Linked DNA regions of Drosophila melanogaster. The protein of the gene in region 1 purifies or fractionates together with the protein of each later gene. This does not show direct contact. Each region holds a gene or a part of one and is shown in the gene's direction. Other genes may lie near its edges.

Region 1 (6,126 bases):
GAAACAGTGAGGTTGTTTCGCTAATGCCACTGTCCTCGATTCTGGGTGTAGATGGTGGGCTATCCTTGGAGAGAAAGTTTAGCACGTTTGATTTCATGCTAAGCACCATTTTGATGACGTCCACATCGGGTGCAGTCACCGAGGGCGGCGGACGAACTCCCTGTAGGCAGCGACGAATCCGCCGATACAGCTCCCGTTCTCTCCTGCAGTTCTCCAAGAAGTGCGACCGGGGGTCGTTGGCGTTCAGCTGGGTGCTCGAAAGGTCCATCGTCTGCTCATCCACAAAACTGGACTCCGTGGGAGCATTCAGCGAGGAGCGAGCTCGTGCGTCGCTGGTGCACTGCGACTCTTCCAACACTTCGGGCAGATCCTCCAGCCTGGTGGGCGGCTCTTTTTCCGGTTGCTCGTCGTTGTCAGCTTCATCGTCGCTGTCGGCAAAGAGATCAGGTGAGCGTTCGTTGTTGAACTTCTGCTGCGAGGTGTTGAGCGAGGTTTCTAGCACGTTTGACAGACGTGGATTCGTAGCATTGGAGGGCCCAGGCTTGTCCTGAATTTCGGGCTTTGCGGTCAGGCTCTTGATTTTGCCATCGAAGGAGAGGCTGCCCGTTGTCGTGGTGGCTGTCGTGGCCACTGACACGGCCATGTCCACGGCATTGCAGCTGTTCTCCTCGATGAGGGTGTCGTAGAACCGGGGAAAGACAATCTTGCCCGGCGAGGGACGTCGGACGGCAGGGGGCTCCACCTCCGGCAGCTTAAGGTTCTGCAGCTGGGAGCCATACAGACGCTTGTTCACCTGGCCATATGGGCTGTCTCCGAAGCCCAGGAACTGCGATTCCTGGCTGCCCGTCTTCGGATTGGGTGGCGTTGGGGTTTCCTTGATGGGCTGGCTGCTCAGTGCTTTCGGTTTCATCAGATACGGTAAGTTCATGTGATCCTCGTCAGATATGTGGCTCTCATTGTTTTCACTGAGCGAAGACTATAAAACACAAAGTTTCAGCAAGCTCGCAACCGCAAGGACACCAATTAGTCTTACCCCGCTTCCTGTAGAAGGCTCCGATTCGTAGCTGTTGTTTATCTTGTTTCCAATAGTGGCCATTCTTCGAATAAAAATAGATTTCTCGTTGTAGTTATAGCTTCTTCTATAGCCCGAAGTTATTTTAGGCACGCGGCATTTTGTACAGGCTGCTCCAGTTTGTGGAGCCTGACGAATGGCTAGATTGACGGGGCAGAGAAAAGTGAAAGTAAGCACGGGGAGTCACTGACGATTTTCTTATCTTAGCCGCATTAATCTTCTTGGCAGTGCATTTACCTTTTGGAAATGTGGCACTTTTCCCAGGTCGGGGAAAACTAAGTTACCCAAGCGAAAAACGCGCGTAGAAGTCTGACTTTTGCGGACATTTAACGCGCTCGAGTCGCACGCTGCACGCCTATCGCTAGTATCCAGTTGTGCCCGCGAGCTTGTAGCTCCTAATGCATGTTGTCTAGCTCCTTAAAATACCTTTAATTTGTTAATTTATCTATAAAACACTGTTGTTAAAATCGCCTGTATGAACATCTGCCTGCTTTTGGCGGTGGTACTAACGCGTCTGGGAAATGCAATTAGTGATGGGCGATAGTTTTGCTATCGGGTGGCATCTTCCAAGCGGTAATCGGGGTCGTGATTTTTCTAGTAGTCATATTCCTGATTGGAATCCTTGCTAACCAATCAAACTAACACATAAATATATTTTTTACGAATATATTTACTTGTGAAACAAAGTTATTTCCTTGCGAAATTCTACTCTGCAAGACCAGCTATCGCTGCCAGCAGCAACTATCGCACCTCGTGTCAGCCCTGGTAAACAGCTGTTCGCGCATAACATAACACAATAACAACAAGCCTTCAAATTTATTAAATCTTTTATCTTTACTGCTGACTGCGCGCTTTTAATCGCAGCGCCCGCTTTGAAAACCCCCACCGACTCCGATAAATTCAGTTGTGCCCAAGAAATCAGACGCAGCAGGCCGCCAAAGGGCCAATTACGCGCTTCCCAACCACTGGCTCTGCAAGCAACAACAACAACAGCAGCAACAACCACTGAGCCAACAACACATCATCTCATCCATTTTACAAAAAAAAAAAACGTCACTAAAGTCCACGGAAAGCGATGCGATTGAGCCGCTAATCTCGGCGAGATGCGCGGAATCGAGGGCAAAGTGCTTGTTCTGGGCTCGCGAGGTAAGCACACACGTTTCCACCCGTTTCCGATTTCAATGGCCATTCGGCGGACTCCATTCAGAAGTCTCAATGATCCGCATAATGACAGTAATTCCATCAATTGCCCAGTGATAAGATTAACAACCGGGGTGAGCCGATAAGCCGTAGCCTTGAACTCCACTGGCCCCAATTGGGAATCTGCAGGCTGCATGCTGCAATCTGGATTTAGGTAGATGCAGAAGAGAGTCTGGCAAAGACAGCGTGTCTGGTTGGGATTAGGCTGAACTAGCCGATGAATTTAACCACACACGATGTCATCACATCAAGATGACGTTGCCCTTGGGATTTGGATTTACGATAAGAAATCTGTGTTAATGGGCCAAATTTGATGGCTTCCGTAGTGCACAACTCCGAAACTTAAAATTGTTCATTTCTACATTTGTACTCCAAAAACATATCAAGGGGGAAGCCTCCACCGTCTACCCTCTTCTACACAACAAAGTGGACATTTTTTGCAGCGTAATCGGCTGACGAATTCGCAATGAGTATATGTATTTAAGTTTGGCCCAAGGTCAACTAAGGGGGCTTATATGCACAGCGGGTGCAGTATTTGCTCTGCTTTTTCGCCAAACAAAGGGACGCATTGATAAAAAAAAGGCGGTACTTTCCTCGGAATATACGTTCTTCCCATAATCGCCGGATGATTCAGTGCATGCACATACTGCAGCTCCACGCGGAGATTCCCCGTCTGATCAAACACAGAGGGGCTTCTCTGAGCCACAAAAAAGTGGGCGCCGAACAAAGAATCTCGTGGTCGGTAGGCGATTCCTTATCGCTGTTTACCACCTTTTGCGGGCTAGTGCGTCTCCAGTTTTTGTTTTGTTTATTCGGCTCAATTTGCGTGATTAATCAGCGGTCAATTAATGCGTGCGCCATTCCACGTTCACTGATAAGCTGCACGGCATTATGCTTGAAGCGAAATAGGGCTCACGGGTACACAGAAAGACAATGCTGTATCTCTCGATTAATTGCATAATTTGTGTTCTTGTCTTGCAGGTGTGGGCAAAACACGTTTGGTCATCCGCTACATAAAGAACACGCTGCACCGCAAGGAAAGCGAGGTACCCACGATAGCCGTGTCCTTCTTCACGTGCAACATCATCCTGGACGAGGTCAAAATTAAATTGCAAGTGCGTATACAGCAGCCAGAATATGTATCAGTGCGACCAACTCTTTTGGGGCGAACGCAAATGGAATTGCCTCGTAAAAAAGCCGAAGCCAAAGGCAAAGCCAAAGGAATTTGCCACTGCCCCACGCGCCCACTAATCCTATTTGCCGGCTGGGCTGCCGGAACGCTAATCTGGGTTTATTCTGCCACTGGCTGCGCCGCGGGTACTTCTCGTCCGCCGTCTCCGCCGCCCACTGTTTTGGTCACTTTATTTGTCCTTTTTTGTTTGCAATTTGTGCGTCCGCTGCACTTTGTGTTATTCTCTTTTTTGTTAGCTCGTTCCTTTTTTTTTATAGTTTATTGATAAGCTAAACGGGAGCGGCAGTAGTAGCAGGAGCAGCAGCAGCACCAGCTTCGCCCATTGCCAAAGGGTTACCACCCACTTGGCCCTGGCTGCCGTATTTACTCTTCGGTGATCCCGATTTTATGCGCAGCCATATAACAATGGCCACTACAATGGCCATACGTTTACTCTCAACGCCAAACTGTTTTTTCTCTAACATGGATGCACAGGCAGCTAGGTGGATAGGCTTTAAACTGAGAAAGTTTGAAACTTTTTAGTAGAATAGAATTCAAGCTCTTTAATCCAATCACATAGCGTTTCAGCAAAGCAATACTTTTTCTTGGACGAAGTGCTTGCTCAGAATGTTGAAAGAAACAGGTCAGATTTGTTTTTCCCCCGGTTGACCCCAGTTGACCAGCAGAAGCAGTCGCCGGCGCACAATAAGTATGAATACATAATAGGATATAGTTTTCGTATTCCGCTTGTTAGATTCGCTTGCGGGGCTCTTTGTTTCTTTGGTAAGCTTTTGTGTGCTTCGATTTAGTTTCGCCAATGAACATGTCGTTGCCCCAAAATGCTTATGATTCGCATAAAGAGGAGCCCCTTGAAAAGACCCAAAGCAGGGATTTCACATCCAATATGATTGTTATTGCTGTGGGAAAACGCGACAATAAAACGGCAATTGCAGAATAAGCGGGCAATGACTCAATTAAATTCAAGTGGCGTACGAACTCTAACCAGTGCTTACTCACTCTCTCTCTCTCCTCGTAGATCTGGGATACAGCTGGCCAGGAGCGGTATCGGGCGGTGGCGCCCATGTACTACAGGAATGCCAACGCCGCCATTCTGGTGTTCGATCTAACGCAGTACAAGACATTCACGGAGATCAAGTCGTGGATTCAGGAGCTGCACCGCAATGTCCAGGACCCGATGATACTGACGCTGGTGGGTAACAAGATGGACATGCAGGCGCAGCGAGCGGTCTCCCGGGAGGAGGCCTTCGTGTTCGCCACCTCCATTGGGGCCACCTACTTCGAAACCTCCACCGAAACGGATCAGGGACTGGAGCAAGTGTTCATATCCACTGCCCAGGGACTGGTTCGCCTGGCAGACGAGGGCAAGAGTCCGTCGCTGCGCTCCTTCCAGTCGACTGATTCGCTGGCCTACACCAACACCAACACTGCCTTCAGTCACACGGTGGCCGCCCTGGCCAGGAGCTCCGGAAATGCAGCGTTCCGTCTGCCCTACGTGGACATTGGCTTGGCGGTGGAGGGCGAGGACGTGAAGACCAATGGCGTGGGGCGGCTGGAAACGGCGCCGTGGAGCATCGAGCACATCGCCCTCGGCGAGGTGGAGAGGCCCAGCTGGTGTTGCTACTAAGATCTATCAGATCCCCAGGATCCACATCTGTGAAAGAACCAATGTGATTTTAACAGAACCAGACTGCAGTTCGAATATGGGCTCAAGGGCCAGCCAGCATCGTTTAAGCAATCAAGCAACCCAACTCCGAAAACGCAAAGACCAAAAGCAGCCGCCGCAAACGCAAGATGCAAACTTGGCTTGAAGCTATGTATTAGATCACTGATTAGGCTAGATCCAGGATCCCCTCGATCCACTGACAAGGCGCTGCGACAACCGCTTCATCATAATCTTAGTTCTTAATGACAGCTGTGTACAGCAATTGCCGCGTGCATATTATGACTTTATACACTCGTTTCGCTCTAAGCCCATCTGACTTACCAATCATAAGATTAACCCACAACACACAGGGAGCAGCACTCACGAAACACTCACAAAACACTCACGAAACACTCACCCACAAGACATTAACACAAACACCAATTCATGTACAAAGCATTTTATACTGCATGCCTATAATAAATGTAAATGTAATAATGTATTTCGGCTGCTTTGTCATTTCGGGGGCGAAATCAACGCCCCCCCAGTGGCGAATCAACGGGCCAACGGCAGTGCAAGTGCATTAACTTGGCCATTAACGCGGCATCTTAACGTGTAATTGGAATTTAATGCCCCCATAACAATGCCAAGGGTTACAATTGTATTGGCTCCACCGGCTCCTAATGCCTTCGCATTAAGTTTGCCCCCCAGAAGCGTGACCTGCTATTTTTATCAACCCTTGTGCGCCACTTGGGGGCTCTTGGATGAACGTGCGTTTTGGATTTTGGGGAGCTACTAGTATTCCCGCCAAATTCGTTAGTAATTTCTAACTTCATGGAGAGCTGTTTCAGGAGGAGTTTAATTATGAAATGATTTGTTTGGACTCTCGACCTGGGAATGCACAAACAAAAATGTAATCTAATATATTAAGAGATTTAGCAAGGAGTGGCTTTTCTAAAATAAAATACCAGTATGCGAACATTCGAATCGTATGACAGACTAATTGATATAAAATCAATA
Region 2 (3,460 bases), on another chromosome or scaffold:
ACCAGGAATGTTAAATACTCTTATCACCCCGTTCAGCAGCCAAGGGTTAAAATGCATCACTATATAATCATTTAAAACCGAAAAATGATGAAAATCAGTAAATAAGCATATGTACTGAATGAATGATGGGGGAGGGGGGGTGAGAGGGGGAGCTCAGATGCAGGATTGTAAAAATCTTTATAATCGCCACATTGTGTGTAAGCTCGTAAATGTGCTAAAGGGTATTTGGTTCGGAGTTTGTTTGTTCCAGGGGTGATCGAAGTTCATTGGTTCAGTTACCGTCTGTGTTTTTATTTAGAACATGTGTTTCATTAACATAATTAAAATTCAAATGTTACTTGCACTGCTTGAAGTGATATTTTAATATGTTTAACTATGTTTTTTTTTTTCTTTTTAATTTTTTACCTGGACTTCTTTGTCTTCGTAACCTTTGTGTCATAAAAGCGTTTTCAACGTTTTAAAGTATTATTTTTAGGGCTTGTTGCTCGACAAACCGGTTAACACTTTGAATCATTTTGGCCGCTTATTTCGTTCATAATCCTGGTTCTGCATCGATGTTTTGCACGTTTTCAAGGGCAGGCAGCTTTGTAATTTAATTCAATTTCTATTTAATTGAACCAAAGGCGTCTTTAATGTGCAACTTTTTGATTTATGAGTCCGCAACAGCAAGCGGCTGTCAAGCAACTTGTTCATTTCACTCCACTTCTTTCTTAGTTTCCCTCTCTTGCCTTCGGGAAAATTTAAAATCTTACTACGAAATTTCCATGCAAACGAAACATTTTCCGCCAGCCATGCCGCATTTTGCGTTTCCTCTTCTTTTTCTTCCTGTTTTTTTGGCACAAATTTAATTTGATTTGATTTTGGCCGCTGGACATGGCAAGCCCCAGGCAATTTGTCAAAAAGTTATATAGCTACTGTGTATTTTTATGTGCCGGCATATTTAATGACATTTTCCTCATTGCGACTTTTTTTTTTTGAATTTTCAAAAAATACAAAATACAATATCTTCTAAAATCCATGAGCAATGCCCAATTCTTGAAGTTTTTGATGGCCATGCAAGTGATGTGCCATTTGTTGAGTAAGTATATCTGTGGGCAAAGATTTCTAGCTTAGGCGTGTGCAATGTATGAGGAATTAATTTGTGTAAAATTGGCAAACAATGGAGGAGATGGGCCGAGTAAAGGTAAGCAATTTGTTTGAATTCGCTTGGTAAATTAATTGCACAGGTTTGGAAAATTAATGGACACCTGCAGATCCACCAGTGGCATTGTATGTTGGCCATTGTGTGGTTATTGAATTTAAGTTCCATAAGCATTCAAATGAAGATGCTGTAATTTTGCAGGAATATATAAATAAGTATATGGCCGTTATTAAATGCTGACCCACATTTTGTGTACTGGCAAAGCCAGTTTTTTTTTTGTTGGTTGTTAAAAACCATTTTGATTCTTGGCAAATCTGGTTCAATTAACTGCAGCCCAAAATATCATTTAATATCGCGATATGACCACAAAAATCATATATAAGAAGTGGCGAGCCTGGTCACCACAGCAAAGCGACTGAAAGCGAAGTCTGATAAAGAACAATCCTTACAAAATACAAAAAAATATATATATTTAAAAAATACAATTGAGCAACCAAACATGGCCAACATTCTAAGTTTTACCATCTTTATGGCTGCCATTGCTATTGGACTGGCTTTAGCCACAACAACGACAGCAAGTACAAGGACACCCATGCCCACTTCCACTGAAAAATCCATGGAAAAGGACGATCCCATGGAGTCCTTGGAACGCCGTGACAAACGCCAATTGGTAAGTGATTATTGAAGCAAACTAGTCGTGGCAAACTTAGGTGTAGATTTTAGGTTAAATCAATCAATTTTTAAACATTTACCTTTCCTCTTAATCGTATTCCCAGACCGCCAATGGTGGCCAGAGCAGCCTGGCTGGTTCCAGCGGCAACTATCCCGTTTTCTTCGATGGCCTTAATGTGAATCCCCCGCTGCAGCCACTGCCGCCACTGCAGCAACTTCAGCCTCTGCAGCCATTGCAGCCGATTACGGTGGTGACTCCTGTGGCCTCCAGTTCGAATGCCCAGAGCCAGCAGCCGCAGTCCGGCTGGCTGCCTCAGTTTAGCCAGAATCTTCCACTTATCGGAACCTGGGTGGGTGGCCTGCCCAATTTGATCAACGGCCTGGGACTCGGTTCGCTAAACGGCGGCTTCGGCACTCTGGGCGGCCTGAATCTGGGCAACCTGGGACTGGGTGCAGTGGCGCCGGTGGCCGCGGTGCCGGGCCAACTGCTCGGCTCGTCACCCAATCCCCAGACCACATGCCCACTCACCCAGAAGCTCAACTGCCGCTGTGAGCCGCTCGTTCAGCTGCCGGGCCTGAAGCCCAGTTCCAATCCACTGAGGACGCAGCTGGTGCAGATCATGCGGCAGAATGCGCGGAAGAACGAGGACGGTTCGCAGGAGGTGCGCGTAATCCTGAGCAGCGGACATGTGATCTACCAGCGGACGGCCAAGGATCGCGGCCAGAGTGGCTACCTTGCCATGAGAATTCAGTCGGGCAGGTACTTCAACATCTACTACAGTGTCAACGAGAAGGAGTACACGGTGCGGGCGGATGTCAAGGACACGCCACCCACCTCCGATTTTGACGACGAGCTGAGTGGTCAGTTCTAAAAATTGGTCAAAGGGATTTCCCTTTACTTACCTACAGTTTTTTTTTCTATACTTAATACTTAACTAGCCATTTTTTATATGAAATGCACTTAAACATATGTATTTGAATAAGCATTTAAACATATTTATGCTTATATGTTAAGCGTGCCCGATTTGAACCAAGCCGCCGAAATTCTTCGTAAACTCCATTAATCCCTTTTTTATTCGCAACTTTTTTTTTGAACTTAAACAACTACAAACTAGCTGCGAAAGAAATAAACTACAATGAAACACATTTTCTGACGATTGCTCCTTGGGGACAAAAAGTTTAGCTACAAAGACAAATATTCATGGGGGTGCGGCAATAAACTTGTTTTTATTGCCGAAAATGTTGTTAAAGGGTTAACAAGGTGGCAACGGGGGGGAGGTTGTTTCTTAGCCCTTAGCCCAATTTCCAAAAAAGGAACTTTCCTAATTACTGAAGCCACTTGGAAAAGAGATAAATAAATATTTACTCAGGCAATATTTAAGCAATAATTGTTCGCTTATTATTATCATTTTTCAGTATCAACTGATAATTATTCGTGAATAAAAGTTTTAACAATGGATATAGAAGTCTTTGTATTTTATAACTATTAAGTGCTCAAGTTTGTATATATGGCATAAATAGTTATAATTTTGTTTGTTTATTAGTTGCAGCAAGCCGACACCAGTTGAATCTGCTGGTCATGGAAAAACCCACAGAGAAAGAGGCCAGCAAACAAACAAAGAGCCAATGGGCAAATGGAAATCAAGC
Region 3 (6,062 bases), on another chromosome or scaffold:
CAGCGATTGTTATTCAATATTCTTCATATTCTGCACTGTGTGTTCCGTTTTCAATTAGCCTTTCGGTGTAATCTATACGCCACATGTAATAATTGTTGTAAACAAAATGTTTTTACACTTGCTAGGAACAAGTGGGCGTGGCTGTGACGTTGGACCCGTCGATGGGAAAATATCAAAACAAATAGACACCAGTGTTGATTTGCAATGCATGTGGATTTTTGAACCGGAATCAATTTTCGAAATCAAAGTTCGATGCTTATCGGAAATCGGGGCAATAGCTGCTGAATCTTTACGGAAGTAATACCCTCTGAGTCAGAGACATATCTAAGTATAGATCGTATTAAAAGCTTCGCATTTTTCCAGGGTATTCTGTTGTGTTTTCGAGAAAAGTCGTAAACAAAAACAAGAATAAAGCAGACAGACTTTAGGTCGTGATAACGCTTTTGAAAGGCCGCCTCTTTGACGTCAATGGGCAATATTCGAGATCCTGGTGGAGTGTCAAGCGATCGAAAACCCGACTCGTAAACACCTTCTCCGGACTTTGGACGCCTCGAAAGCGAAACGGCGGGATTCTGCGAAAATTACTGGCCGCTGATAACGTGTGCCAATGGGGAACATAATATACATATGCAAATATATTTAGTGCTAACCAGACATTGACACCACCACCTGTCAGTGGCGGTGGGCTGAGGGACAAGGGCGTGGCAGGGGCCCGTCGATTGACACAGTTTTCATAGAAATTCACTTGGCATGTTACACACAAAACAATTTTCTTCTATTAATAAGCTAGCAAAAAACTAGGTTCGTCATGCTTAAAGATATTCTACAAATATATTGATCTTTAGATATATAACTACTTTTAAAGTAAGCTAAAATAACAATCTTTTAAAATTTAAAGATATATATTGCCAATAATAATGGAATATCCTTAAAAACATGGTTCAAATCGTTAGGATCGTTATGGGTAGTTTATACAAATAAGTATATTTTTTCTCGCCGTGCCGAATGGGTTGTCGAGAACAGCTGCTGATTGCCCAAGGGGGCTGTTCCCCATCCTCTATTTCTGACCCATCATAAGATCCTCCCTTGTGCCGCCCTCTTCCTGTAAGAGATTGCTCAACGCATTCATGGCGGTCACTTTGTTGTCGTCGGCAGAGCGGATCGGCTTCCTTATCAAGAAGGTGCATCCAACAAAGAGCAGCTGGTGTACTTTGCATCTACACTGAGCGAAACGCTCGACTTGTGCACTATCAGCTGCTCAGGGCCTCTTGCTTTCCTCTCTCTCTTTCACACTCTCTGCTGTAAGTCGCGTGCCGAAGCTCATTGGTCAGTGTTGGCTGTCTAGCGAAAATACGACATAACTTCCATAGAAATAATATCTGTAAAAGGAGCGTAGTTATCAACATTTAATGGTATATATAGTGATACTTGAACGGGTTATAGATTTAAAGTATGTTTTTTTTCTGAATAGCCTTCATGGTAATTTCCACGAGATATTCGGCTTCCACCAACTGTTTATTACACTTGACCTTTGAAGTGGTAGACGTATTGTACGCATATGTATATGTCGGGAAATCGGCGGATCGGTCAGCACTATCTTCGATCGGCGGCTTCGGCTGCAGCTTCGGATGCAGCTTTCTGATTTCGGTTACGGTTTCGATTTCTCGCGACGTCTACGTCTTTATAAAAATTGCGTGGGGCGCAGCTGATCCGCTCAGTGGTGCGACGGTTTCCAAGCGACTCAGATCGGCGGAGATATACACGACATATAGCCCAGTCATTGGCGATAGTCAAAATCGAAAGAAACCGAGGGCCGCCAACTAACCTAACAAGCTAACGGCACACTCGAGACGAAAGACAGTCGATAAGATTAACGTCAACTTAATTAAAACTATAGAAAAGAAAAGCCAGGCACCAAACAAAAGGCCGATCGATCAATCGATCGATCCCATCGTAACTCGACTATACAGTCCTAGCCTTAGATAATAGCCAACTCGAGTGGCACTCGTTCAAGTGATTTGTGATTGTGGTTCAGTTAAGAACTGACTAAAGCCCTGGGAAAAAGTGTGTGATTCAAGTTGGGAATTTCCAAGATCCCCAGGATCTAAGGGATCACATTTGGCATCGGAATCGGAATCGGAATCAGATACAGCTGCAGGATGTATGTGGCCAACACGACGGGCGGCCTAATGCTGCAGACCATGTTGTATTTGGCCAACCACACCAGTCGGGCGGCAGTCAACACCCTGGTGGACCTACCACCAGCTCCCAAAAGTGGTAAGTAATTCGAGCCACGAGCCCACTTTTGGCTACCACCGATTGCACCACCCATCGTAACTAGAACATGTCCATCGAAAGTGGCCCAAAAGTATCTGCCACTTGAGCCACAGTGGCGGTCGAAATAGGAGTAGCTAAGGGATTTCTAGTGTTTCAATGAAATGAAATTTTTACAAATATGTAGAACTATTATTCAATAATAAGTTAAAGATTAGAATAAATACAAGATATCCCCACTTTATAGAGTAAGAGAGTAGAGTAATTGGAGCTATTATCTTGGCCGCAGCTGTGTCATTTGGGCCCAGTTAGGGGCAACCTTAAGTGGTTTCTTTTGCTGAGTGTGCTGAGCAAACAGTTTTCGGATCTTTAGTGCTTCGAAATCCAAAGATGCTGAGTGCTGCTCGCATTAGCAAATGGGGAAAGCTCTTTCAAGAAGCCCGCAGCGATTGCGATCACCTGAGTGATGGAGGCACAGGTGGCAACTCGGCGTGCTTCAATTTGATTTGGAAATCAGGGTCCCAAAAGGCTAATGACGCGACTCCGTCCGGTGCGGTTTCATATATGTACATATCGTGCGTACATATATGTAGATATATAATATGTATTCAGTTGTTGGAGGGACGCGGCACACGCCTATCTAATCGAAAACTTCCGATACAAACGGAAAGCCAAAGAAGACCACGATAAAATAGAGACGGCAATCCATGCACCACTGGCCAAATAAATTGAAGTCTTCTGGCCCATATGAAATACTTAATGGAACATTACAGGCATCTGACATCTTGAAAATTGTCTAAGGTTTTTTCATGGATCGTTAGGCTTTTTACCAGACCACAACAGTTCTAATTGAGATTTTGCAAAAGTTTAAAGGAATATTAAAAGAAGGCAGTTACGTTCAGATTAATGGTTTTATAATGCCTATTATAGTTTCATGGATTCAAATTGCCCGAGTAGATTATTTTCAAGATTTTAGCCTCAGTGGTTTTGAATTATAACTATATATAAAACTAGTGATAGTTGGTTATTTGTTGCTAAAATTCCAACCCGCTTATCTCAGTTCAGGTGTTCGCCTGTTGATTTATAGACCAAACATACCACAACAAACCCACTGATTTTCCCCAATCCTCGCCAGACATCAACGAGGTAAAATGCTTCGGAGTGTATGGCTGTTTTCCGATCAATGGACCCTGGAACACGGTGACCCGTTCGATAAATGTGCATCCGCAGAAGCCTTCGGAGATCGAGCCCCATTTCACACTGCACACGCGAAGGGCATTGGATCAGCCCAAGTATCTGGATCTCAATGATCCAGAAAGCGTTCAAGGCATGGGAATGAATCCCAAGGGCAAGATATTCCTGCTTGTCCATGGATACCTGGAGTCCGGTGAAATTCCCTGGATGTGGGACATGGCCAAGGCGCTGCTGGCCCACGAGCCCGAGGGTCGGGCATCCGTGGTCCTCATCGATTGGGGCGGTGGCGCTAGTCCGCCGTATGTCCAGGCGGTTGCCAATATCCGGCTAGTGGGCGCCATCACCGCCCATGTGGTGCACATGCTGTACGAGGAGTTGCGTCTTCCGAATCTGGACAATGTGCACATCATTGGTCACTCACTGGGTGCCCATCTGTCCGGCTATGCCGGCTATCACCTGCAGCACGACTTTGGACTGAAACCGGCCAGGATAACGGGTCTGGATCCGGCTGCTCCTCTCTTCACGGACACCGATCCCATCGTGCGGCTGGACAAGACGGATGCCCACTTCGTGGACATTGTGCACACGGATGCCAATCCCCTGATGAAAGGCGGGCTTGGCATCAATATGCGACTGGGACATGTGGACTTCTTTCCCAACGGTGGTTTCGATAATCCCGGCTGCAACAAGAAGTTCCAGGATGTGGTCAAGAAGAAGACGCTGTTCCTCACCATGCAGGAGTTCCTCGGCTGCAATCACATTCGCAGTCAGCAGTATTTTACGGAAAGCATCGGCTCGCAGTGTCCTTTCCTTGGAATAACCTGTGATTCTTTCGAGGTGGGTATCCTAGGCATTTTTATTGCTAATCAATTGCTCTTTGATTGATTTTTTGAATATTCAAACTTAAAATATGTAATATTGTTTCTTCCTTTTTAGAGCTTTAAGGACACGAAGTGCACCAGTTGCGAGGAGCCGGGCCACACGTGCCTGCGAATGGGCTACCACAGCCAGGAGGATTACCAGGAGCAGGTTGATCTTGGCCAGCTGCAGCAAGGCGACTCACCAGGGGTCTTCTACCTATGGACTGGAGATAGCAAGCCCTTCTGCCGACTGCACTATAGGATAACAGTGCGAGTTTCCGGACACGATGAGAGTACGCTACATGGCGGCGAGGTGGGCATCCTGTCCATTCAGCTGCACGATGCCCTGGTGAAGAAGGCTGGCAAAAATGAGCGAGCCGCCACGGAGATGATGAAGTTCTCCCAGAAGGCAATGTACTTTGAGCCGGGCTATGAATACAAAGCTTTGGTGGCCGGACGGAATCTCCGAGAGCCGGAGTACGCGACTGTTAATTGGGAGTACCCCACCAATATACTGAATCCACTCACATGGCGCATCCTATCCGCGCCGCGTATCTACTTGGAGTACATCCTCATCGAGGCGATGGAGTCCAGCGACCTATACCTAAAGTTATGTCCTCAGCACGAAGGAGCCATTCTCACGGGCGCTGAAAATGTCCTGCGCTCCAGCTATTGCAAGGATTAATATCAACCTGTTTACTTGATAATTTATTGGCTAATTGATGATAATATTATCATTTCAATTAATTGATTAATTATCCACTAAATTCGGAACTGTATGTAAGCTATATCATTACTTAATTAGCTAATTAATTTGTAATTTTGCTCATGTCTAATGATTAATTGGCTAATTAATTAAGAACTCAGCTCACACTTTCTCAGCACCCAATATGATTGCGTAGAAAATCAAAGAAAGCAGTGCAGGTTTGCGTCACCGCTAAGTTGTTTGCACAACCAGAAGTGGCACAGATGCAGATGCGTGTCTGCGCTGTGGGAACAGATCGAAAAAGTGTTCCCAGTTTGACTTTTATAGCAACTCGCTGAGAAGGAACAGTTTGTATTTTATTATAGTATTTTAATAGTTCGAAATACGAAACAATCATCAAACCGTTATTTATTTTATAAAATAATATGTTTCATATACAATATATTTTTTTTTTTGAGTTAAATGTATTTGTAGTCGTAGTGCACTGATGTAGTCTAATTTAATGTAAATAAACATGCAAATATACAAAGGTTTCTGTGTTTATATTGTATACATATATAATTGCACAAGCAAAGCTTAATTTTCAGAAGTAAATCCGATGTGATTTAAATCTTGGTTATTCAAATGAAGACCCATTTCTTGCGCCGAAAGCGCGACTTATAGGTAACCTGAAGTTAGATAATTGTGATAAAAAGGTTAAAGACAACACGACAAGCCCCCAGTTGTGGATCTGCCTGCCATAACTCAAATCAGCTGTGGATTCTAATGAATTATAAACACAAACACGAAACTGTGGAGACGGGGAACATTCCATGACATGGATACCCAGTCTGTGTTGATGTTAATATTTTAAATGCTTATCGGGGCAAATGTATCTATCGCATGCATGTGTATCTTTTACATATAATTGATATTATCTGCATTGATTCGACTCGTTTTCAACTTCGTTCGCTGCTGTCTCGATTTCGGTTTTGGTTTTCGTTTCTGTTTTGTTTTCGTTTGAGTTTCAGTTTAAGTTTCTGTTTCTG

What was found.
Region 2: the proteins of RabX1 (region 1) and CG32631 purify together in Drosophila melanogaster (affinity purification with mass spectrometry, with the first as the bait; one large-scale study listed by BioGRID). This does not show direct contact.
Region 3: the proteins of RabX1 (region 1) and CG5966 purify together in Drosophila melanogaster (affinity purification with mass spectrometry, with the first as the bait; one large-scale study listed by BioGRID). This does not show direct contact.

What each region holds. Positions count from the first base shown.
Region 1 is NT_033778.4:23,519,320-23,525,445, reverse strand, and holds RabX1 (RabX1), read left to right. Parts: upstream 1-1,832; 5' UTR 1,833-2,175; coding exon 2,176-2,218; intron 2,219-3,253; coding exon 3,254-3,387; intron 3,388-4,479; coding exon 4,480-5,088; 3' UTR 5,089-5,607; downstream 5,608-6,126. Other genes in the region: mi (minus), read right to left, coding at 1-976, 1,034-1,096.
Region 2 is NC_004354.4:13,554,909-13,558,368, forward strand, and holds CG32631 (uncharacterized protein), read left to right. Parts: upstream 1-1,563; 5' UTR 1,564-1,640; coding exon 1,641-1,811; intron 1,812-1,917; coding exon 1,918-2,685; 3' UTR 2,686-2,958; downstream 2,959-3,460.
Region 3 is NC_004354.4:5,987,081-5,993,142, forward strand, and holds CG5966 (uncharacterized protein), read left to right. Parts: upstream 1-1,710; 5' UTR 1,711-2,159; coding exon 2,160-2,277; exon of another isoform or gene 2,278-3,409; coding exon 3,410-4,305; intron 4,306-4,404; coding exon 4,405-5,013; 3' UTR 5,014-5,560; downstream 5,561-6,062.